Mytilus edulis: one gene and its partner. The protein of the gene in region 1 binds, or shares a complex with, the protein of each later gene. Links are inferred from orthologs where the notes say so. Each region holds a gene or a part of one and is shown on either strand. Other genes may lie near its edges. The genes, in order: E3 SUMO-protein ligase RanBP2-like and nucleoporin NUP188-like.

Region 1 (12,573 bases):
TCATGCAATAAATGAGGGAGGGTAGGAGGGGTCCTGATCCCGAAATCCCGAGCTTAAAAACACGAAATCCCGAAATCCCGGGCTTAAAAAACACGAAATCCCGAGGTCCCGAATTTCGATAAAAGAATTCCCGGATCCCGAAACTCGGAAAGGGTCAATCCCGAAATCCCGAGCTTAAAAACACCCGATCCCGGAGTCCCGGTAAAGGTCCTATCCCCCCTCATAAATAATGTCATCAAGCACAGAAATTAATAAGCACAATTAAAGCATATAAGCAAACATAAAATGCAGACAAACTAACATTCATGCAATAGCTATTATAAATCACTAAAAGTAATTCGAGCATTAAGAACACAAAAAAAAAAAAAAAAGAAATTATGCCAAATAATTTAAAAGCCAGTACTGTATACAAGATAAATAAATAAACTGATCTACAGCTCATTGAGATCTGCAGGAGGAACACTGACACGAACTGCCCTCCCAATTATACCAACCAAACTTTTAAACTGACCCAATGGCATTTCTTTCCTCATTTTATTTGGCAGTTAAATTTCAATAAGTTTTGCTGGTGCCGGTAAATAACCATTTCTATAGAAAAAGGCTATTTTGCCGTCTTGAATAAATATATTTTAATCAGAGTCGCCAAAATTGCCGTCAAAATAACCACAGTGCCAAAACAGAAAAATAATCATTGTCGAGTTTAAAAACCGCGGGAATTTGGGGTTGCACTAATGACAGGATGATTGCCCGGATAGTGACAGGACGGTTGACCGGACGACATATAAATAGTCATAACTTTTTTGTTATCCGATAGATTTGTTTAATATTTGCAAACCTGAAAGATATTAAACTATATTTTATGAATATAAAAAAAAAAGAGGAAAAATAATTATTTTTGAGCAAAAAAAGTTGACCGGACGGTATTCACACTCGCCAATATACGCTAAATATATATTCAACTGGTTGACGACAAGTGTTAATATCTCTTTTGTTTTACAATATTTGTCCATGAAACTCAGGAATCTGTGAGATTTATAAATATATTATACGAAAATATAAACTTGATTGCAAAAGAACGTGTTTTTCTAAAAAAAAAGTTGACCGGACGGTATTCACCCTCGCCGATATACGCTATATATATATTGAAATGGTCGACGACAAGTGTTAATATCTCTTTTGTTTTACAATAGTTGTCGATGAAACTCAAGAATCTGTGAGATTTATAAATATATTATACGAAAATATAAACTTGATTGCAAAAAAACGTGTTTTTCTCAAAAAAAAGTTGACCGGACGGTATTCACCCTCGCCGATATACGCTATATATATATTCAACTGGTTGACGACAAGTGTTAATATCTCTTTTGTTTTACAATATTTGTCGATGAAACTCAGGAATCTGTGAGATTTATAAATATGTTATACGAAAATATAAACTTGATTGCAAAAAAACGTGTTTTTCTCAAAAAAAAGTTGACCGGACGGTATTCACCCTCGCCGATATACGCTATATATATATTGAAATGGTCGACGACAAGTGTTAATATCTCTTTTGTTTTACAATATTTGTCCATGAAAATCAGGAACCTGTGAGATTGAATAGTATATTACACGAAAATATAAACTTTAAAGTAAAAAAGAAAAAAAATCTGCAAAAAAAGTTGACCGGACGGTATTCACCCTCGCCGATGTACGCGTTGACAAAAAATGTAAATATTTTTTTTGTAAACAATATTTTTTCATAAAACTGAGATATGTGCGAGATAAATAAATATATGATATGAAAATATAAACTCTATGATAAAAAAAATATTTTTCTTAAAAAAAAAGTTGACCGGACAGCTAACATTCGCCGATATATGTTAATAATAATAAATTGGTTATTTTTTTTACCATATCTGTCCCTGAAATTTATGAACATTGGAAATGAATAAATATATTATACGAAAAATTAATACAAATTAGACAGTTGAACGGTGTTCATCACAGAGCCAGTCCCCTAAAACATTGGAACAACTCTGGTGAACCCACTTGCTGCAAGTGACACGTCCTCGTTTGCCTTCACATCCAAACATATTTTCCAATATATCAGGCTTACCACAAACACAGCTACATTCAATTTTTCTTGTGTGCATCTTGACTGAGTCAGCACAAGAATTTAGTGATTGAGGGAATTTAGAAAAGTATCCCAGTTCAAGGCATTTAATCAAATGCTCTCTCATACCAGTTGGTTCAAAAGCTGTTTTGTTTTTGAAGTTGGAAGTACCTCCATTAAAGCAAAATTCAAGCAAATTTGCTATGGAGTAAACCCCACAATCATAACCATTTGGCTGACGTTGCACTTCTGGGAGTTTAATTGAAATGTGCCTCTGACCATAAATGCCTTGTGTTGTTCAATAAACGACACTTGACCATTATCAACAGTCAACTTGGCCAGGGATTTTTGGGACAAGTTTTTATCTGAAGTTTTAATGGACATGGAGGAGCTTTCTGTCCCCTCTGAACTATCAGATACTAATGGTAATATATTTGTCCCCTCTATTTGGGAAGGCGCTGTGACATTTTCTTCAGCAATGGGACTAGACATGGTGGGGTTTTCTGTCCCATCTGAAGTCTCAGATACTAATGGCAATATATTTGCACCCTCTATTTTGGAAGACTCTGTCTCTACTGAGACATGATCCTTAGAGCATGTGTCTCGAACATTATCTATTTCTGACATAACATGCTTTACAATGTCAGCAGGTTTAACCAACTGCTTTGGAACATTGATTTCATCTTTTGGTATAGAAGCATGGTTAAATTTGGTTCTTAATGTATAGTTACCAATGCCAGCCAGACCCCTTTGCACCTCATTGATATAGTAATTCTGCAAGTAAAACATGCTAAGCACGAAGCAGTCAACTGGCAACTCTCTATATTTATTAAGCCTTTTTATAACTGCATTCATGCTTTCACATGCATTATTGGTAATGCCAGAATATGGATCATAAAGGTTTTGGTATTTATCAATTACCCATTTGCCACTGTGAGTAAGAATGTCCTTTTCCATCTTTTCAAAGTATACTACTACCGGTTTTGACCACTTTCTGATTAATTCATCTTTTAATGTCATATACTCTGCTTCAGAGTCAGACCTTAGGAGGTCTTTCAAATGTGAAACATACAGGGCTGTGTTTGACTGATCAGCGCCCATTTGCTGAAGATTAAATTTTAAATTTTTTATTAAATGATTCCAGCACATAAGAACATCACAAGATGGGAAGTTCTTTCTGATTGCATTTACAAGACCAATCTCCCTATCAGTTACGAAAGGGACTGAGGTTTTGTTTATTTTTGGAAATGACGATGCAACGAATTCAAAGAAACGTGCATGTGTCTTCTCCTTCTTTCTACTATGTATCAAGAAAGCTACAGGCATTATAGGTCTATCTTCAAAAATTATATTTCTGAAAACTAGGGGTGAAACAAAGAAGTCTCCACACTTAAAAGTGGTATCATAGAAGAAAACAAAAGGAACATCATCTTCAGTGTTAACATCAAGTAACTGGTTAACGATAGAAATCATTTCTGGCAAAGCAATGATTGAACTCAAATCAGGGAAAACTGTCACCTCATGGATGAATCCATCCATATGATATGCCAATAGCAAAAGGTTATATATATCATCTTTGCTCAGTCTTTCTTCCTCATTGACTTTCCTTACTAGGTTTTCAACTTGTTTCACATTTCTAGCATTTAGCACCCCTTGGTGTTCACCAGAAACTGAACCATTTGATATGCTTTCTCTGTAAACATCCATGGCAGTTTTTTCACCTGACCTTATGTCTTGCTCTATTTTTCTTAATACAGAAGGAGCAGTGCGTGTATACTCAGGGGGATCTGACTTTTTGCTGTTCCCATGGCCAACGGGTACATATACCGTCTCATCTCCCTCATAATGCACAAGTATTAAGCTTTTGTTACTTTTCAAACTATATGCAGTTTTCTTAAACTGTAAAGAACCAACTGGTCTTTTTCTACCGTTTGTTTTGTCTGTTGTTCCTGGTAATCGGATTTTGTAAAAATGTTTTTTAAGAACATCATTACCAATGGTGACTGATTTTGTACCATTATTTATCCACAGATATTGGTCACATTTCCAATCATCTGCACCAGTTTGAAACAAGTAAACTTCGTTTGCCTTTGGCTTATAAGGGGGAACATTCGATGTACAAGATGTTTCAGGTTTAGTTAAAATATCTACTATTTCTGTTTGATGTAATACATCTGTATGCATATAGACAATAGACCCACTGTCCATTTTGATATTTTGTCTACTGGTAAGTTGTACTAATATGATGGCTATACAACTGTCTTTAAAAAGACATGCCTTTAAATAAAGCAATATATAGTAGCACTAATATCAATCTGTTTACTTTTGTATTTATAAATATATGTTTGACAACTGTCTTTAAAAAGACATGCTTTTGAATAAAGCAATATATATAGTAACACAACTATCAATCTATCTATATCAATAGTTCAATAATGAATATATATTGAAAATTGTCTTTAAAAAGACATGCAAAAAGCAAAATATAGTAGAAATATAATTTGTGTGATCTGAACTGGTTGAAAGTCAGAGCATAAATGACTGAACAATTGAATAGTTATTATTAGGTGAGTTAAATGTTAATCTGAAATCCTGAACTTCATAAAATTTCTTCTTTAATTGGATACTAATTACCAACTGATTATAAGGTAATTCAATTAAATGTATTTGATGTCTCAGGTGTGAAAACTTTAATGACATGTTATTTGGCTTGATTGGTGATTACAACAAGTGTCAAAATTAGATTAATTTGATTAAATATCATTACTTCTAATATGCATTGGTGAACTCGCTCACATAAACATTTTGGGCTCATTGTTTTTACTTTAAAGTTTATTTTTCTTGTAAAATATTTATCTAATCTCACAAATTATTTCATTTCATGGACAGATATATTATAAAAATGAAGAGATATTAAAACTTGTGTTGATCAGTTCAATATATTTAAATAATAATATCGTCGAATGTTAATTCCCTCAGATCAACTTTTTTTTTTAAGAACAACATTTAACATATTTGATATAAGGTTTATATTTTCATATTAAGTACTTATTGATCTCTCAGATTTCATAAATTTGATAAAATAAAAGAGATATAAACACTTGGGTCTACCAACTTATATTAAGGCATATAACGGCGAATGTTTGTTCCGTCCGGTCATCTTTTTTTGAAGAAAAACATTTTTATTTACTATAAAGTTTATATTTTAATATCAAGTATTTATTGATCTGGTAGATTTCTTAGTTTCGTGTAAAAATATTGTAAAACAAATAAGATATTGACACTTATTTGTATCAGTTCAATATAATTAACGCGTACATCGGCGAATGTGAACACCGTCCGGTCAACTTTTTTTGGAGACAAACTTTTTTTTTCACTATAAAGTTTATATTGTCGTATCCAATATTTATTATTCTCACAGATTCCTGAATTTCATGATAAAATATTGTAAAACAAAAGAGATATCAACACTTGTCGTCGACCAGTTGAAAATATATATAGCGTATATCGGCTAGGGTGAATACCGTCCGGTCAACTTTTTTTGCAGATTTGTTTTCTTTTTTACCCTAAAGTTTATATTTTCGTGTAATATATTATTCAATCTCACAGATTCTTGAGTTTCATCGACAACTATTGTAAAACAAAAGAGATATTAACACTTGTCGTCGACCATTTCAATATATATATAGCGTATATCGGCGAGGGTGAATACCGTCCGGTCAACTTTTTTTTGAGAAAAACACGTTTTTTTGCAATCAAGTTTATATTTTCGTATAACATATTTATAAATCTCACAGATTCCTGAGTTTCATCGACAAATATTGTAAAACAAAAGAGATATTAACACTTGTCGTCAACCAGTTGAATATATATTTAGCGTATATTGGCGAGTGTGAATACCGTCCGGTCAACTTTTTTTGCTCAAAAATAATTATTTTTCCTCTTTTTTTTTATATTCATAAAATATAGTTTAATATCTTTCAGGTTTACAAATATTAAACAAATCTATCGGATAACAAAAAAGTTATGACTATATATATGTCGTCCGGTCAACCGTCCTGTCACTATCCGGGCAATCGTCCTGTCATTAGTGGTTCCCGGGAATTTGATCGAGTGTATTTGGGTTTATGGGACTTGATGAAGAAAATATCCGATACTATACGAAGTAAGCGGCAAACTTAAAAATATTACACCGAATTTGATTGGTCCGATTGAGGTGGTAGTTGTAAAATGTAATCTTATTGGTTCATATTTTAAAGTTTTTTGTAATCCGCCGGCATGAACGAAAGTGAATGAATGAAAAATGTCAAGACGCAATAGAAAAGACGTCGATAGATATGTATCTCATATCCCTGAAAAAGAGGTAATACTTCAGAATGTTCAATCACAAAAATAATTTCTCTGGACGAAGTTTAAAGTAATATTTGAAAGTGAAAGTGGCTTCTGTCATGACATGAGTTCTGAGAAAAAAGGGGGAGAGATAGGACAATGTGTTCTGTACAATAGTCAATAATGATACCAAGCAAGAAGTTAATAAATACAGATTGAAATAATGAATTGTGTTAATGTTCTGTTGAAGTCAATTCTCCAATATTTATAATGGCAAGAAATGGTTGGCGTTGATATTGCCAATAAATCAGGTTGGAACCAGAAGACCAAACGGGGTAACTTAAAATATTCTGAATGCTATGTAAATAATAGTCCAAATAATTATGAAAGGCTTTTATGCTTCTTTTCTTTGACACCGTACATCAACGTCTTAACGCCGAACTCATATTTTCAGTTGGACTTTAAGAGGGGTAACACTAATGATAGCATCGTCAGGAGACCAAAGGAGGTACACAAAAGAGTTCTTCAAGAACGATAACTATATAACAAATTTGGCCTTGAACCGTTTACGATACCACGTGTTTTACTTTCCACAGGGAATATTTTGACCGATCACTAAACTGAGGTAGGCAAGCGATACTTTCTCAAAATTACACTTTTGTAACAATCTTTAAGCATAATATGAACGATTTAAATATGTTTTGTAACAAACAAAAGTGTCAAAGTGTTGTTATTAAGGTTTACTTTTTGTTAAAATGAATCAACGGTGACGTTGTTGAATTATATAGGCAAATTAATTTGTTTATCGTCTCTCCCTTCAAAAACCTTTTAAAGACATGTACTAAATGATGATCTAAGACATTTCATATCAATTAATTTTAAGTAAAATGTGTAATTATCTCTAAATGAATCTTTTTCAAAAAGATGTCGATAGTTGTCTCCCTTGACATTATAGTCCATTATTTTTTTTTTTGGTTATGTGTAAATGGCTGAAATATATTTGATATAATAACAACTCACCTTATTAATGTAATCAGTTAATATATTAGTATGAAAGCATAATTGAAGATATTTGAATAGACTAGTGTGTGTAACTAGCTTTGTTTAAAAAGGGGGGTGGATATATTAGGTGACTCCATCGGTTGTAATGTGTAGTATGGGGTCAAATACTGATTCAACCACACATGTATTCAGTGAACTTCAATACACATCATGTCAATATAAATCTGTTTTTTTAAATAACGACAGTGTTTATTTAATCAAAAGTAACAGCTGTCGATTGATCCTCGTTAAAAGAGGGGGGTGTACATGTTTGTGTAAAAAATAAATTGTTACAATAACAATAATAATAGTACATGATGTAAATATTAATGAATGAATAGATTTATTGTGATTTATTGTGAGCGAAATCTACACAAGAATGGACCAGAACTGCAATTGTTATCTCCCTTGAATAAGCTTGTTGTTTCAATCATACTAATAATTATTTAACCTAATATTTAATTATGATAAATTACACAACAATTAATAAAAAGTAGTATTTACAATTAGGTTCAAGAAAATATTTATCAACATTTGGTTATTTTTTGTCTTTTTTGAAATATATAAATTTTTGACTCACCAATTTTTGGAACATTTGATGTTTTTATATAGAGTTAAGATTTTTAAACACTACACTACTGCGAAAACTAAAGGCTCTATAGTAACCTACAGTTGTTTATCAAGAGAAAAAAAAGTAACCTACAGTTGTGAATGAATATAGCTGTGACATTGTGGGGTCTGGTGTATATATCACCGTGGCAATAATACCACATCTTGTATTTTATATATTCCGGTTGAAGTCAAGCATGGCTAATCTGTCACTATTGTTGATATTTATAGTATTATCGTATTTGCAACACTCTCATGTGTAGTCAATGTTGTAAAAAAAAAATACAATATTATTTTTACTTATTCATTAATCCATAAATTCCACACAGCTCTCATTCGTTTATAAGTATATAATTGGAGATCTGGCTTATATTAAATAACAAAACCGTTTCAACTAAACAGTATTAAGGAACAGACCTCTATAATGAAAGAAAAAATGTATGTGATTGCATTTTTTAATTCATGGTTTCAATATTTATTGAGCAATTTATCATAGCACCTTCAACAATGGGGAAAATCCATACTCCATAGTAATTGAAATGCCTTTAATTGATACTTATAAAATGATTTATAAGAATGAAGAAAAGAATAAACCTGATTTATGTACAAAATAATAAATAAAAAGCAGAAGTGATATACAACAAGAAACGGCGCTTCCTTATTTACATTCTTTTTTATAATACAAGGTGCATTATAACATAATAGATCAAAGAAGATGTGGTATAAGTGCAAATGAGACAAATCTCTGTCAAAGTCACAATTTATAAAAGTAAACCATTATAGGTCAAGGTAAGTTCTTCATCACAGTCTTGGCTCACACCGAACAATTAGTTATAAACATGATAAAGGGTATTGAAATAGATATATTCTACCAGTATTTAAAAAAAGAGAAACGCCAACACATCAACAAGCGACAACTTCAGAACATAAGAGTCATGACTTCGGACATGTGTATCATGAAAAAAGTCAGTTGGGTTTCAATCATGTGATAAAATGTAGATACATATTTTTCAAATATAAAAAAAACGCAATTAAGATTGTAAAAATCATATTTTAATATTTGTTCAATATATATTTAAAACAATCAATATATATAATGTTATCAATAAAATGTTACTTTAACTTTGCAGAACTAATTTGAAGAAACAGACTATAAAAGCAAAGTGTCAATCATTCAATGATTTGAACAAAAACAAATTAGAGTTACCTCTCTTGGCTAAAACACTTTGAATGGAAAGTCCCTTTGATATCAAATTTTTGGAAAGGGGAATTTAATAGTTTCAAGAGACAACCAATCAAATTGCTTGGTGTTTTGAGACAGGTGAAGGTCATACATTATTGAATATTTAGAAAAAATACATGGAAAGTAAACTTTAATTTTTTTCCTGACATAGCTACTAATGACCTATATCGCCGTGATTATCTGACTGTTTTTACTGTATTATAATTGATATAACATTTAATTTATATTAACAGATTTGTATACAATGTACCATTCATTTTCTTTCAGAAAACTTCCCGAGGATACCAGATATCTGTGTTATACAATGAAGCTGGTGACTATGAAACTGCTAAAAGGTATTGACTTCACATCATGACCATGAGGACATGTATAATGTACATGTATATCTACTTTTTATGCCCCACCTACAATAGTAGAGGGGCATTATGTTTTCTGGTCTGTGCGTCCGTCCTTCCGTCCCTTCGTTCAGGTTAAAGTTTTTGGTCAAGGTAGCTTTTGATGAAGTTGAAGTCCAATCAACTTCAAACTTAGTACACATGTTCCCTATGATATGATCTTTCTAATTTAATTGCCAAATTAGACTTTTGACTCCAATTTCACGGTCCACTGAACATAGAAAATAATAGTGCAAGTTTCAGGTTAAAGTTTTTGGTCAAGGTAGTTTTTGATGAAGTTGAAGTCCAATCAACTTCAAACTTAGTACACATGTACATGTTCCCTATGATATGATCTTTCTAATTTAATTGCAAAATTAGAGTTTTGACCCCAATTTCACGGTCTACTGAACATAGAAAATGATAATGCGAGTGGGGCATCCGTGTACTATGGACACATTCTTGTTTTTTAATGTTTTACAGCCGATTCCATCGAGTATGTAGGCAAAGGTAGTATATTTGGTTAGCTTGCTTGCTAGCTGAACAGTGAAATCATTATTAGGAAAGGTAAACTCCCCTCTTTTCAGAGTAATCTAGTCAGACAGATAACAAATCTATCTGTTTGTAGGACAATGCTATTTTGACAGGAGGGTAGTATACCTTACATAATAATGACTTCACAGTTCAGCTAGCAATCAAGCTAACAAAAGATATTACCTTTGCCTTCACACTCAATGAAATTAGCTGTAATGAAACATGTTTTGATTCTGTGCATAGGTAATCCTATAGATAAAATTAACAATTACCCTGTGTCACAGAACTTATTTATGTCAATATTTAATTTAGGAAAATATTGAGATCTCAGGAGTGAGGAGGCTTAGATATGTTGAATAATTCATTGTGGATAAGAGAAGCTAATCTGAAATGAGGAACTCTAATGAAAAATGACAAATGAGCAATATTTGTGGAACGTTTATAAGTTATCAAGTCAACATTTAATTATGTAAACATGGTAAATCGCACTTGAAGCAAGTCATTTTTCAAATGTTCTTTTCCTTTGAAATCTGAAAAATACTTTGTAAACTCAGTCAAATTAATTCCTGAGTTCATCACTTTATTTGTCATGATGGCTGGAGTCGTAAGCAATTTGTTAGTTTGTGAAAAGAAATTTGAATCCTTTCTTTCTCATTTTCATAAAGATGAATAATAGATGTATCTGAAAAGCTTTATTGTAAATTTTGAATACATTGTATTATTTTATTTTTGACATGGTTATCTGTACAATATAAAGATTGTCTTTTAATTGCATTGATTTTGGACTTTTAGATACCTAGCATCTTACATCAGTACCAGAGAGAATGTACCCCAGGCTCATAAGTTAATGGGACAGATTTTAGAATCCAGCAAAAACAAAGAAGATGCCATTGAAAGTTACAAGAGGTATGTTTATAGACATATATATGTTATCAAAATACAAATTTGTTTATAATCTAGTGACATTGTATACATATGTTTTACATACAGAAGCAAATTTATAAACCAGTAAAAAATCCAGCTGATAAAATGTTAAATAATTTAGTTTACATGCAAGATATAAAAACTGGTGATAGATAAAGTTTGGATCAGGTTAATATTTGTCAAGTGGAATGAACGGAATTTTTATCAACATGTTTTTTTTTTACCAAAGAATAAGAGGACCATTGCAAACTAAAACAGATTCACTGTAACATTAAGCTCAGAGTTCGCGAAAATGGTCAGTCCTGTCGGTCTTATCAGTCAAAATGAGGCTCGGACCAGTATATTGAAAGCTAGTGTCGGTCCCCATGACCGATGTAAAAACGGCCGTTGCAGTGCCTTTTTTATCGGTAATTAGTTGTACCGCAACTAATTCCAATATGTGCCGTTTACATCGGTCTTCAGATGTACCTGCTGCTAATTTCCGGTACTGGTTTCCTGTTATAAACAAACTGAAACCTATGGAAACCAAAGTGCCGATCTACACATGGCCTGCTAAATTTGTTCATGGCAAACAATCGGCGATTGAAATCTTAGATGGAGATAACAAATACCGAGAAAATGATTCAGTTGATGAAATAGATAGAGAAATGACTTTAATTAAGAACAATCAGAAGATCAGAACTGGTCCTTCATTATTAATTTGTCCGTGGCTGTGAAAAATAAAACTAATAATAATAAAGTTACTTTTGGATAAAATATGTTATTATTTTTATTTTAGGATCAAATTGACACGATTTTTTTAGGACTGGCTAAAATTTTGTAGGACTGACAAATAATCTTGCTTTGTCGGTCCCATGACCGACAGGTCAAACAAAGTTTTTGCGAACTCTGTAAGCTGTAGAAATTTGTCAACATTCACATTATCAAAGTTTATATTTTCTTTTTCAGGTCATTCCAACTCGATAGTAAGCAAAAAGATTTACTTTTGAAAAGTAAGTACAAAGTGTTATTAAATAAGTAATGAAATTTCATGGTTTGTGATGATAAGGCCAAATAAAAATATATGTGTGGTTCCAGTAACCCTACCATCCCTACTTTTTCGGCTTAAAAATAGCCTACCCTAAAGATTTTATTGTCATTTTTCATAAAGCACTGTTAAAGTCAGAATGTTGCGCCCATAGACTCGATGTAAAAAAAAAAACATAAAATAAAAATAAATCCCTACCTACCTACAGTACGCCCAGAGAGTATGTAATCGCGAACTCTAATCACCGATTTCCAAGTGTAGCGGTGTGACACCGCGAATCACGGATTATACTCCCAATTTCCTCCAAAGATTCTCTCCCAACACCGCGTGGCTGTTTATTAGTTTATTGCCCATCGGATGTACTGAAAATTAATGACGCGTGACAACATCATCGGAT
Region 2 (13,156 bases), on another chromosome or scaffold:
ATAATAATATTTTATTCCGAAAGCAATACAGCTTATAGGATACATATACACAATTTTACACCAATATAAGAATTTTACAAGAGATATATAATATATATAAATATAAGGTGTGCATGAAAGAACATATAATACATAATACATAATACATAATACAAAATACGAAATACGAGCGGAGAATGATATAATGATATAACACTTAAATAAAGTGAGAACAAAAATATTATTTACTGCAATTAAATTCTAAGTTCTAAGTTATAGAGGGAAGGTTTATCTTAAATTTTATCGTGCAGTTTGAAAAAAATATACATAATAATTATTAACAACGTCAATTATTTGCAGGGCCTCCCTGTCTAGCTCAGATCCACCAAAGGGAAGATCCTACATGGATAGATCTGTCTTTGAAGGTAACGTTTTAACTAATAAAGACATTTAAAAAAAAAACACCGCGGAAAGAAAGGGAAAATACATAAATTCATACGTATCATAATAAAAACAAGGAGGTGTGGTATGATTGCAATGAAAAATACAATCCAATAGAGACAAAAGAACAATGATGTAAACAAATACAGGTCATTGTACGGTCGTCAATTAAGAAAAGAATCAAAAACCGTAGGCCTATATATATATAGTAAGCTAAAACTAAAAAAAAAAACGCATGGTCAAACAACTCAAAAAAGAAACCAACGACTGTTTTAGAATGCAATAATATCAAAAAACAATTATAGCTAGCTTATAAAGATACAGACTTGATAGTAGGCTCTAGTTATATTTCACACAGTGCCAGATTGAAACGTCTTGTCTCCTACCCGCATGAAACAACTAAGACTACGGCTATCATTTTTGATCAGACACACGATAAACAAATTTCATTTTTATAGTTATATAATAGATACATAAATATCTATAAACGAATTTTAATTTAACAGATACAAATGCATTTTGAAAAATAAAATTAATATAAAAGCATATAAGCCAAAATTCATGATCTATATATAGGCAAGATTACAACCGTCCGTCTGCTGAAGTTTCTTATGATAAATGTCATTTATTAAAATTTCACAGAACGACATTGAATTGGATATTCCCGACAAAAACGAGAGGACAATTTGGGAAAAGGAGGAGAAGAAGAAGGAAAAAAGAACAAACAAATTATTTAAAGCTGATAAGAAAAGAAGACAGAAGGAAGATAACCAATTTAAAAAGAAACAGACAAAAGGTATAACAAAAGTATATATCTGTCAGTCTTCAACAATGTGCAAAACTTAATATACGTATACCCTAAGTAAACTATAAACGGCCTTGTTTTTTTAGACAATTCAAAAATACCTGATTTATGCTACAAAATAAGATAAAACGATCTATATGTACAATAGACAGTAAGGTACGATCATAGGCTCATAGTTTGTGATAGACACAAAGCGGTGGTAAACATGTACGTGTGCGCGAAACCCCCATACATTCAAAATCTACTCTTGTACTCTAATTACATGTTCAAGGGTCTATATTGTGAAACTTTAGTGAATAGAAACTTACTCCTAAATAGAAAATTGAATAACTTAATCTTTCGTAAATAGCATGAAGTATAAACACACCTGTGTATACAGATCACAGGGATGATATAAATTTCACAATAAAAATAATAGATGTAACAAATACAGTTGTTTTGGCCTAACATATGGTGGCCGGATGCGGCCATTTCCCCTTTTTGTGTTTTCGCGTGTTCTCCTCTCACTTTTCCAACGCGAAATCGGGAAAACGAGAAATCGAGAAATTGAAAAATCGGGAAATCGGGAAATCGGGAAATCGGGAAATCGGGAAATCGAGAAATCGAGAAATCAAGAAATCGAGAAATTGGGAAATCTGGAATTCAAGAAAGCGAAAACGCGGAATCGAGAAATTCCTTTCGCGTTTTCGCGTCTTTGCTTTCGTGTTTTCTCGTTTTAGCTTTCTCGATTTCTGGATTTCCCGATTTCTCGCTTTCCCGATTTCTCGGTTTCCCTATTTCTCGATTTCCCTTTTTCTCTATTTCCCGATTTCCCGATTTCTCAATTTCTCGATTTCGCGATTTTGCTTTCTCGATTTCTCGATTTCCCGATTTCGCGTTTGAAAAGTAAGAGGAGAAATGGCGAAAATACGAAAAGGCGAAATGGCCGCATCCGGCTACCATACTTACATGTTTTTGTAGTACATTGTATTTCTTTTCAGATGGACTTAAAAAGGCAAAGAAATCAACCATCAGAGATTTTATCAATTCGCTGTTCGCTTGTTTCCGGAAACAGAAGAAAGGAGAAGAAATATTATAGACTTCTTATTAATTTTGTGATCGTTTAAATTATGTATTATATTTTCTAATTAAATCATTATTTTATTATATATCTTTTTGTTTTTAATAAAAATATTAAACTATACGCAAAACCAAACAACATAAACAGCAGCAGTTGTCCTTTTCTAGATTTAGACATTTCAATTTCAAACGGGAAACTTCACACTAAAATTTACGACAAAAGAGACGATTTTTCATTTCCTATTGTTAATTTTCCTTTTTTAGACGGCGATGTGCCTTTGGCTCCATCATACGGTGTTTATATATCGCAACTCGTTCGGTTTGCCCGTGTGTGTTCTGATGTCATAGATTTTAACGAACGTAATCAATGCATCACTGGTAAATTGTTGTGTCAGGGATTTCGATACCATAAATTACTTAAAACTTTTACTAAATTCTTTCATAGATACAAAGATTTGATTAGTAAATTTGGCTATACCTGTAGAAAGCTTATTAAAAATGGTATTTCACATCCTAAATTTTATGGTAATATTGTACTTAAATTGAGGAAATCACTATGTGATCCTTGTAAACTCATCGAACCTTTAAACAAACTTATAAGTAAGGGTTATCGTACCAATATTGTAATAAGATCTCTGAATATAGTTCACATTGGCACTAATATTGATATTGTCATTAGCAAATTAAAACATAACTAAATTTCATTATCTTTTGAGGCGAGATGTATAGAGACACAGACACGTTAACTTTTATTTCTATAGAAGTCGCTCTTCACTATACTACTACCTGTCGATACATTTATTTTTGGCATTGCACAAGTCATGTCTTCTTTGACTATTAATGACGTTAAAATACTAAATCCCTGTGATGTGTTTTAGTCGATTTTAGTCTCTGATGCATGATTTTTTATTATTAATTGGTTTTGGCTTTTAACTAGCTGTCAGTAACTGCGAGTACTCTCAAATCGTATTTTCTTGTTAATTCGACCTGTTGATACTGTTTATAATGCTTTTTTGTTATTTTTTATTTATATGGATCTTGTCTGTACACCAGCTTTGATTATTTGTATTATCTTCAATTTTTCACTTATTCTTACAACATTTGTATAAACTTCAAGATTATAAAAAAAAACGTTTTTTTTCTAAAGTTAACATTGATTGGTTAAATATTTCTCAGTCATGTCCTGCGTTTGAATTTGTTTGTTAGCTTTTTGGTCATGAATGTTTGTCTCTAATATTTAATTAACTGTGCATTTGTATTCAGATATCGCAGATCAAATTTATTCGTTCATTGTTTAATCATACGTTTTTTGATTGAGTTAAGTCTGCCAATTGATATTTTATCGTATGTTTTTCTTTGTTGTGATGTTATGCTATTGTTTCAGAAAAAGGGAGAAGGTTTGGATCCATTAAAACGTTTAATCCCGCTGCAAATGTTTGCACCTGTCCTAAGTCAGGAATCTGATGTACAGTAGTTGTCGTTTGTTTATGTAATATATACGTGTTTCTCGTTTCTCGTCTTGTTTATATAGATTAGACCGTTGGTTTTCCCGTTTGAATGGTTTTACACTAGTAATTTTGGGGCCCTTTATAGCTTGTTGTTCGGTGTGAGCCAAAGCTCCGTGTTGAAGGCCGTACTTTAACCTATAGTGGTTTACTTTTTAAATTGTTATTTGTATGGAGAGTTGTCTCATTGGCACTCACACCACATCTTCCTATATCTATTTTAAGGACATTAACAAAACCCAGTAGTACATGTATATGACCTGGTAGATGTACTATACAAATGTAGAGAACCGTTTTTGTTATTAACATGTATCGTAACTTATCAACTCTTCAGTCCAAGTTGATAACATTTGAGGAGGAGATGATTTGATCAAAGTCTTTCCAATCTTGACGAAAACTCGCGTAACATTCGTGCATATCCATCAATAATGGACGAGGGGTCAATACGTTATATATATGCAATATGGACCTGTTTCATATTTCTAGGTCTGCCAGTCGATTTATGTCGTACTTTATAATCAGCAATTTTTCAATGTGTTACTCCACTATTACTGAGTGGATGGGTATCATAAACAGTGGACAGGAACTTGAATTGGTATAGATCTGAGACATCAGCGTTCTTTTCTTATGCTTGTTCCAGCTTAGGAAGCTCGTAATCAGTATTGGAAAATGGGAACAATTTATAAAAAAGAATTGTAAAAAGGAAAAAAAATGTCAAAAGCTGTATTTTTTCAAAATATATGTTATTCAGAAATATGTCCACCAAAAAAAATTAAACTTATTATAACTATCAATGTGGTATGTCATTTTGCGTTTCGTCTAAATTTATAGATTTGATAAACTAATTGTTATGTTCAAACTGTATTAAACTAAGTAATTTTCACGTTTAGTGATGCCAGTTATTCATCTTATAAAAAAATGGGAATCTGATAAGATTGTTAATTCCACAGCTACATGTATCTATCACATGTACAATTATCTTTGTGCCATTTTCACATCTACACTAACTTTTTATAGTGAATCAGAGTCATTGTGACATATAGGAATAATTCTCTGTTGTCATATTCTGACTTTTATACAAAGAAAGTGATAAAGATAAACCGTGCTTTTGTTTCCAAAGGTTTTGGAGAAACTGCGATGACAAACAATAAAAATTAGAAGATGTAGTATAATTGTGTTATTATTGACAAAGTTGCAACAAGGTAGGGATAGCAAAAATAAAAACATCATAAATTGTAAAAGCATAATTTTTTGCAGCATTTTATTCGCATGTGTGTGGATTGTCAAACAGCGAAAATATATTTTGTAATTAAAAGTATATGATTTTGAAGTGGCCATTGCATATAAACCACTTTTATATACATGTACCCTTAAGGATAAATGTCAAAGTCAGTTTAATCTTCCATGGATCACAACAGATTTTCGTGAGGTGCTGCACGCATATGGCAAATATCAAAAGATTTTGTCACAGGGTAATCAGATCGTGTTCCAACATGCACGAAAGTATTAAAAAAAAACCTATTCACTTTGAGATCAAAGGTCAAAATATTATTGTAGGTATCTATGGCATTGACCTATGACCTACTTGCCAATTTAATGAGATTTTCTTACATTTTCTAACTAAGTACTATAATTATAGTAAAAATGTGTACAAAAGAAGCAAATTGTAAATGAATACTGTGTGTGTGTGCCTACATTGTAATGATTGCTATTGCAAACAAATGTGCAAAGTGGAGACGAGACTTCCCCTCTTTTCTTTTTTCTTTCTCTTTTATAAAAGACATGATGAATTATTATACAATAAAGATGCAAAAGTAAAAGGTATAATGTTATACACTCTATGTAATACCAGTTTGGTTCGCCAAATAATTTTCGCAATTATTTCAATTTTCTTGAGTTTTGCATATTTTTTTTACCTTATTTAAAAAAAAAACCAAAACAGATATAAAAATGTTAGTTTCATTAATTTTTTTATACCAACCTAGTACCAGACTTCCATATAGGTAGTTTAATCATAAGTGTTGCCTGGTGCAACACAATTGTGTTAGTCTCGGTAAACAACAAATAATAAATAAAGATATATCATAACAAGAATGTGTCCATATAATACGAATGCCTCATTTGCAAGGCCATTTTATGTGCTCTGTCGAACGTGAATTTGGGGTCTGAACTCCTATTTAGTATTATCATACTAAGAGAACATGTGTACTAAGTTTCAAGTTTACTGGACTTCAACTTCATCAAGATCTACCTCAGCCAAAAACTTCAAACTGAAGCGGGATAGACGAACGGACGAACGGGCGAACGGACGCACAACCTGAAAAACAGCATGCCCTTTTGACGGGTGCAAAACCATACCCAACTACCTCCTCGATGCAGATGGTCTTTCTTTTCGCACGACGATGTCCTTATCATGTTACATTCTTGAGCAGACTTGTCATTTTCAACTGTGTACCACTGTAGATGAGCAACAACTTATTGTGACAAAATCCAACACTGAATATAATCATTAAATCAATGAAAATGTATTCAAAGACTTGACAAAACAGAGACATTTATCTTCAGAAGGAAAACAAGACAGAAAATTTGAAGCCAAATGTATCAACTTCTATTGTATGAATGGGATAAACTTACCTTTCAATTCTCAAGGCTAAATAAGTATTTTATAGGCTAAATACAAACTTACCTGTCAATGTAGAATTGTAATCTGAGTGATACCGGTGTTACTCAAGTCACCATAAATGCAAACAAAACAGGCTGCTGAACAACGGTATGGGAAAAACTGGAAAGAAAGTTGGTGTGAATTATTTGCACACCCTATAGTCAGACACAAAGATGAAACACAGTTCAAGTTTGTAGTGAAATGATATTTCATGTGTAAGATTTAAATATGTACCAACACACAACAGTAAGACACTGGTTTTGACGGTAACACTTTAAAAGCATTATTTTTAGGTTGTTAAATTTAAGTTTTTGTCTGAAAACTTATAGAATATGAATGCATATTATAACTTCAAGTTAATTAGAATATCAATATCAATATGCATGCTTTGCTTAACTATCACAGGCACTCGTCTCAGAATTTTTTCCCCCTATAAACCTTTATGATATATTGATGTGTTTCCCTCAGTTTTAGTTTGTCTGAACCCGGATTTGTTTTTCTCAATCGCCGTTCACAGGCACATGTCTCGGAAATTTCTTTCCTATATACCTAAATATAACACTTATATTAAGGTAGTAAATCCCCCTCAAATAGTGACAGTTGGCAGGTGCTATTATTCATTTTTAGGAGGATGGGCTTTAAAAAAAAAAACTACCTCGGAAATTTGAAGGTCCGTCAATTGATTTTCATTTATGTACCTTTATTGTGTTTCCGGTAAAACAAAATGTGAAATGTGATGGCGGGACAGCTGAAATCTGAAAGGTTGAAGATTTTCCCTTATTTCCATAATATATTACTATTTTGATCGGTCTCATTTAATTGCCTGAACCAATTCGTCATTTCAGTGTCACAGTTTTTGTCCTTTTTCTTCCAGTTTTATAATATCGTCATTTTCGACCCTGGTTTGAAGGCAGAAATTAAAATATAATATGTGTGGTTCCAGTAACCCTAGCTGCGGAACCGTACTTTGCGGACCATGGTCCGCAAATAGTCAAAAAATAACATAAGGTAGCACTCCACAGTTAGGTGTGTAGTTTCGCATTTTGGCCCCTGTGGATTTTTCAAATATTAGAGCTAGTGTGCAATAAAATTCATTTTTGGATAGCTGAGTATTAAAATAGCCTTTGTATTGGGTTTATATGAACATCAAGAGTATGTAATATAGGCTGTTCTCTGTATGACAGTCCGTATTTGCATGTCCCTACCATACATTGGTCCGGCAATTATTGTAATGTTTTTTTCCAACTTTTTATCGCACGAACTTTGTGATTGGATTTTACGAAAAAATGAGGAGAAAGACACCCATTTTTTATTTGATCATTAGGAAGATTTATGAAAACAGTTTCTAAAAAGGTATTACTCAAAGGCATTGAAATTCTAGTTTGATCCAAATTTTGGGGGGATATGTGACATGTCCTGGCAGGTATTGTGGTACGCACTGAAACCCGGACCGGACCGGACTCCGGACCCGGACTTTGGTATGAAACCCGGACCCGGACCCGGACTGGCCGCCGGACCCGGACTGAATGCCGGACCCGGACTGTGGTTTTTTTTACCACTTCGGTTTTTTTTTAAAGATTACTGTCATATAATATATAATCAAGCATAATCAAGCATGTATATAAGTTAGATTTAAAGGGGCAGTAGCTCCGAGATATAATGAAATAATAAATAAAAATGTTCAATATAGAGAAATAATTTTATTTTAGCAGCCATTGTCAAAATAAACTAAGATACATCGCTTATGAAATATTCACGTAATCTCCGTATCCGTAGTATTCCTTTGGTAAGAAATACAGAAATAATCTTGTGTTATATATAATGAGTGGCAAAAGTTTACAAGGCCGTATACGTTAACCGGGATATTTTTTACCCCAAGATGGTACTCTGAATAAAATCTTCTGCGGCTCCTGATTGGATGATCATACAAAGTTGGAATTGCTCCAATAAAATTTAAGCAGCGATCGATCATCTATGTAATACACAATCTTGAACAAGTGAGTCCGGACTGTGACCTGACATGACCCCGGACTAGCTTGAAGTTTACTATACCTGCGTGTATTGCATTACGACGACTAACTGTATGTAAACTGTTTATTGTCGTAAAGTATATTGATGGGACATTTGATCAATCATGTAATACATAAGAAAGTTATAAGATATGTATCCGACATTTAACGAAAACATTAAATGTAATAGGCGAGTCCGGATGGTGACCTGAAGTAACCCCGGACTAGGTGTATTCGCAAACTATAGACATCGATAGAGATATAAAACTTCACAAATTATTTGATGAGACGAACTTATTCATTTTTATTCATTCAACTTTTTCCCTTATTGGATTGTCGTCGGAAACATTAATAAAAGACGTTTCCCCGAGAATCAACAAATTAATATTAGGCGAGTCCGGACTGTGACCTGATATAACCCCGGACCAGGAGTATACGGATTGTATATAAATATACTAAATTATTTGTTTAATTGAAAGATTTTTTTCCCCTTTTTGCTTTTTACATTTCCTTTATTCATTTCTCTATTTCTTTAGTTATTCGATTGTCATCGGAAAAATCAATAAACGACACTTAAGCGGCGTTCAACAATGTAATACACAATCCTGAACAAGTGAGTCCGGACTGTGACCTGACATGACCCCGGACTAGCTTGAAGTTTACTATACCTGCGTGTATTGCATTACGACGACTAACTGTATGTAAACTGTTTATTGTCGTAAAGTATATTGATGGGACATTTGATCAATCATGTAATACATAAGAAAGTTATAAGATATGTATCCGACATTTAACGAAAACATTAAATGTAATAGGCGAGTCCGGATGGTGACCTGAAGTAACCCCGGACTAGGTGTATTCGCAAACTATAGACATCGATAGAGATATAAAACTTCACAAATTATTTGATGAGACGAACTTATTCATTTTTATTCATTCAACTTTTTCCCTTATTGGATTGTCGTCGGAAACATTAATAAAAGACGTTTCCCCGAGAATCAACAAATTAATATTAGGCGAGTCCGGACTGTGACCTGATATAACCCCGGACCAGGAGTATACGGATTGTATATAAATATACTAAATTATTTGTTTAATTGAAAGATTTTTTTCCCCTTTTTGCTTTTTACATTTCCTTTATTCATTTCTCTATTTCTTTAGTTATTCGATTGTCATCGGAAAAATCAATAAACGACACTTAAGCGGCGTTCAACAATGTAATACACAATCCTGAACAAGTGAGTCCGGACTGTGACCTGACATGACCCCGGACTAGCTTGAAGTTTACTATACCTGCGTGTATTGCATTACGACGACTAACTGTATGTAAACTGTTTATTGTCGTAAAGTATATTGATGGGACATTTGATCAATCATGTAATACATAAGAAAGTTATAAGATATGTATCCGACATTTAACGAAAACATTAAATCTAATAGGCGAGTCCGGATGGTGACCTGAAGTAACCCCGGACTAGGTGTATTCGCAAACTATAGACATCGATAGAGATATAAAACTTCACAAATTATTTGATGAGACGAACTTATTCATTTTTATTCATTCAACTTTTTCCCTTATTGGATTGTCGTCGGAAACATTAATAAAAGACGTTTCCCCGAGAATCAACAAATTAATATTAGGCGAGTCCGGACTGTGACCTGATATAACCCCGGACCAGGAGTATACGGATTGTATATAAATATACTAAATTATTTGTTTAATTGAAAGATTTTTTTCCCCTTTTTGCTTTTTACATTTCCTTTATTCATTTCTCTATTTCTTTAGTTATTCGATTGTCATCGGAAAAATCAATAAACGACACTAAGCGGCGTTCAACAATGTAATACACAATCCTGAACAAGTGAGTCCGGACTGTGACCTGACATGACCCCGGACTAGCTTGAAGTTTACTATACCTGCGTGTATTGCATTACGACGACTAACTGTATGTAAACTGTTTATTGTCGTAAAGTATATTGATGGGACATTTGATCAATCATGTAATACATAAGAAAGTTATAAGATATGTATCCGACATTTAACGAAAACATTAAATGTAATAGGCGAGTCCGGATGGTGACCTGAAGTAACCCCGGACTAGGTGTATTCGCAAACTATAGACATCGATAGAGATATAAAACTTCACAAATTATTTGATGAGACGAACTTATTCATTTTTATTCATTCAACTTTTTCCCTTATTGGATTGTCGTCGGAAACATTAATAAAAGACGTTTCCCCGAGAATCAACAAATTAATATTAGGCGAGTCCGGACTGTGACCTGATATAACCCCGGACCAGGAGTATACGGATTGTATATAAATATACTAAATTATTTGTTTAATTGAAAGATTTTTTTCCCCTTTTTGCTTTTTACATTTCCTTTATTCATTTCTCTATTTCTTTAGTTATTCGATTGTCATCGGAAAAATCAATAAACGACACTTAAGCGGCGTTCAACAATGTAATACACAATCCTGAACAAGTGAGTCCGGACTGTGACCTGACATGACCCCGGACTAGCTTGAAGTTTACTATACCTGCGTGTATTGCATTACGACGACTAACTGTATGTAAACTGTTTATTGTCGTAAAGTATATTGATGGGACATTTGATCAATCATGTAATACATAAGAAAGTTATAAGATATGTATCCGACATTTAACGAAAACATTAAATGTAATAGGCGAGTCCGGATGGTGACCTGAAGTAACCCCGGACTAGGTGTATTCGCAAACTATAGACATCGATAGAGATATAAAACTTCACAAATTATTTGATGAGACGAACTTATTCATTTTTATTCATTCAACTTTTTCCCTTATTGGATTGTCGTCGGAAACATTAATAAAAGACGTTTCCCCGAGAATCAACAAATTAATATTAGGCGAGTCCGGACTGTGACCTGATATAACCCCGGACCAGGAGTATACGGATTGTATATAAATATACTAAATTATTTGTTTAATTGAAAGATTTTTTTCCCCTTTTTGCTTTTTACATTTCCTTTATTCATTTCTCTATTTCTTTAGTTATTCGATTGTCATCGGAAAAATCAATAAACGACACTAAGCGGCGTTCAACAATGTAATACACAATCCTGAACAAGTGAGTCCGGACTGTGACCTGACATGACCCCGGACTAGCTTGAAGTTTACTATACCTGCGTGTATTGCATTACGACGACTAACTGTATGTAAACTGTTTATTGTCGTAAAGTATATTGATGGGACATTTGATCAATCATGTAATACATAAGAAAGTTATAAGATATGTATCCGACATTTAACGAAAACATTAAATGTAATAGGCGAGTCCGGATGGTGACCTGAAGTAACCCCGGACTAGGTGTATTCGCAAACTATAGACATCGATAGAGATATAAAACTTCACAAATTATTTGATGAGACGAACTTATTCATTTTTATTCATTCAACTTTTTCCCTTATTGGATTGTCGTCGGAAACATTAATAAAAGACGTTTCCCCGAGAATCAACAAATTAATATTAGGCGAGTCCGGACTGTGACCTGATATAACCCCGGACCAGGAGTATACGGATTGTATATAAATATACTAAATTATTTGTTTAATTGAAAGATTTTTTTCCCCTTTTTGCTTTTTACATTTCCTTTATTCATTTCTCTATTTCTTTAGTTATTCGATTGTCATCGGAAAAATCAATAAACGACACTAAGCGGCGTTCAACAATGTAATACACAATCCTGAACAAGTGAGTCCGGACTGTGACCTGACATGACCCCGGACTAGCTTGAAGTTTACTATACCTGCGTGTATTGCATTACGACGACTAACTGTATGTAAACTGTTTATTGTCGTAAAGTATATTGATGGGACATTTGATCAATCATGTAATACATAAGAAAGTTATAAGATATGTATCCGACATTTAACGAAAACATTAAATGTAATAGGCGAGTCCGGATGGTGACCTGAAGTAACCCCGGACTAGGTGTATTCGCAAACTATAGACATCGATAGAGATATAAAACTTCACAAATTATTTGATGAGACGAACTTATTCATTTTTATTCATTCAACTTTTTCCCTTATTGGATTGTCGTCGGAAACATTAATAAAAGACGTTTCCCCGAGAATCAACAAATTAATATTAGGCGAGTCCGGACTGTGACCTGATATAACCCCGGACCAGGAGTATACGGATTGTATATAAATATACTAAATTATTTGTTTAATTGAAAGATTTTTTTCCCCTTTTTGCTTTTTACATTTCCTTTATTCATTTCTCTATTTCTTTAGTTATTCGATTGTCATCGGAAAAATCAATAAACGACACTTAAGCGGCGTTCAACAATGTAATACACAATCCTGAACAAGTGAGTCCGGACTGTGACCTGACATGACCCCGGACTAGCTTGAAGTTTACTATACCTGCGTGTATTGCATTACGACGACTAACTGTATGTAAACTGTTTATTGTCGTAAAGTATATTGATGGGACATTTGATCAATCATGTAATACATAAGAAAGTTATAAGATATGTATCCGACATTTAACGAAAACATTAAATGTAATAGGCGAGTCCGGATGGTGACCTGAAGTAACCCCGGACTAGGTGTATTCGCAAACTATAGACATCGATAGAGATATAAAACTTCACAAATTATTTGATGAGACGAACTTATTCATTTTTATTCATTCAACTTTTTCC

What was found.
Region 2: E3 SUMO-protein ligase RanBP2-like (region 1) and nucleoporin NUP188-like share a complex: the UniProt entries of both Homo sapiens proteins name them as parts of the nuclear pore complex. The link is inferred for Mytilus edulis from reciprocal best matches to the Homo sapiens genes RANBP2 and NUP188.

Annotation. Positions count from the first base shown.
Region 1 is NC_092348.1:12,668,223-12,680,795, reverse strand, and holds the start of E3 SUMO-protein ligase RanBP2-like, read left to right. Parts: upstream 1-6,333; 5' UTR 6,334-6,398; coding exon 6,399-6,458; intron 6,459-9,584; coding exon 9,585-9,652; intron 9,653-11,017; coding exon 11,018-11,131; intron 11,132-12,097; coding exon 12,098-12,141; intron 12,142-12,573. UniProt on the Homo sapiens protein: E3 SUMO-protein ligase which facilitates SUMO1 and SUMO2 conjugation by UBE2I. Involved in transport factor (Ran-GTP, karyopherin)-mediated protein import via the F-G repeat-containing domain which acts as a docking site for substrates.
Region 2 is NC_092345.1:50,788,061-50,801,216, forward strand, and holds the start of nucleoporin NUP188-like, read left to right. Parts: upstream 1-7,148; 5' UTR 7,149-7,187; coding exon 7,188-7,213; intron 7,214-13,156. Other genes in the region: uncharacterized protein, read left to right, coding at 1,063-1,216, 2,206-2,303. UniProt on the Homo sapiens protein: Component of the nuclear pore complex (NPC), a complex required for the trafficking across the nuclear envelope. Required for proper protein transport into the nucleus.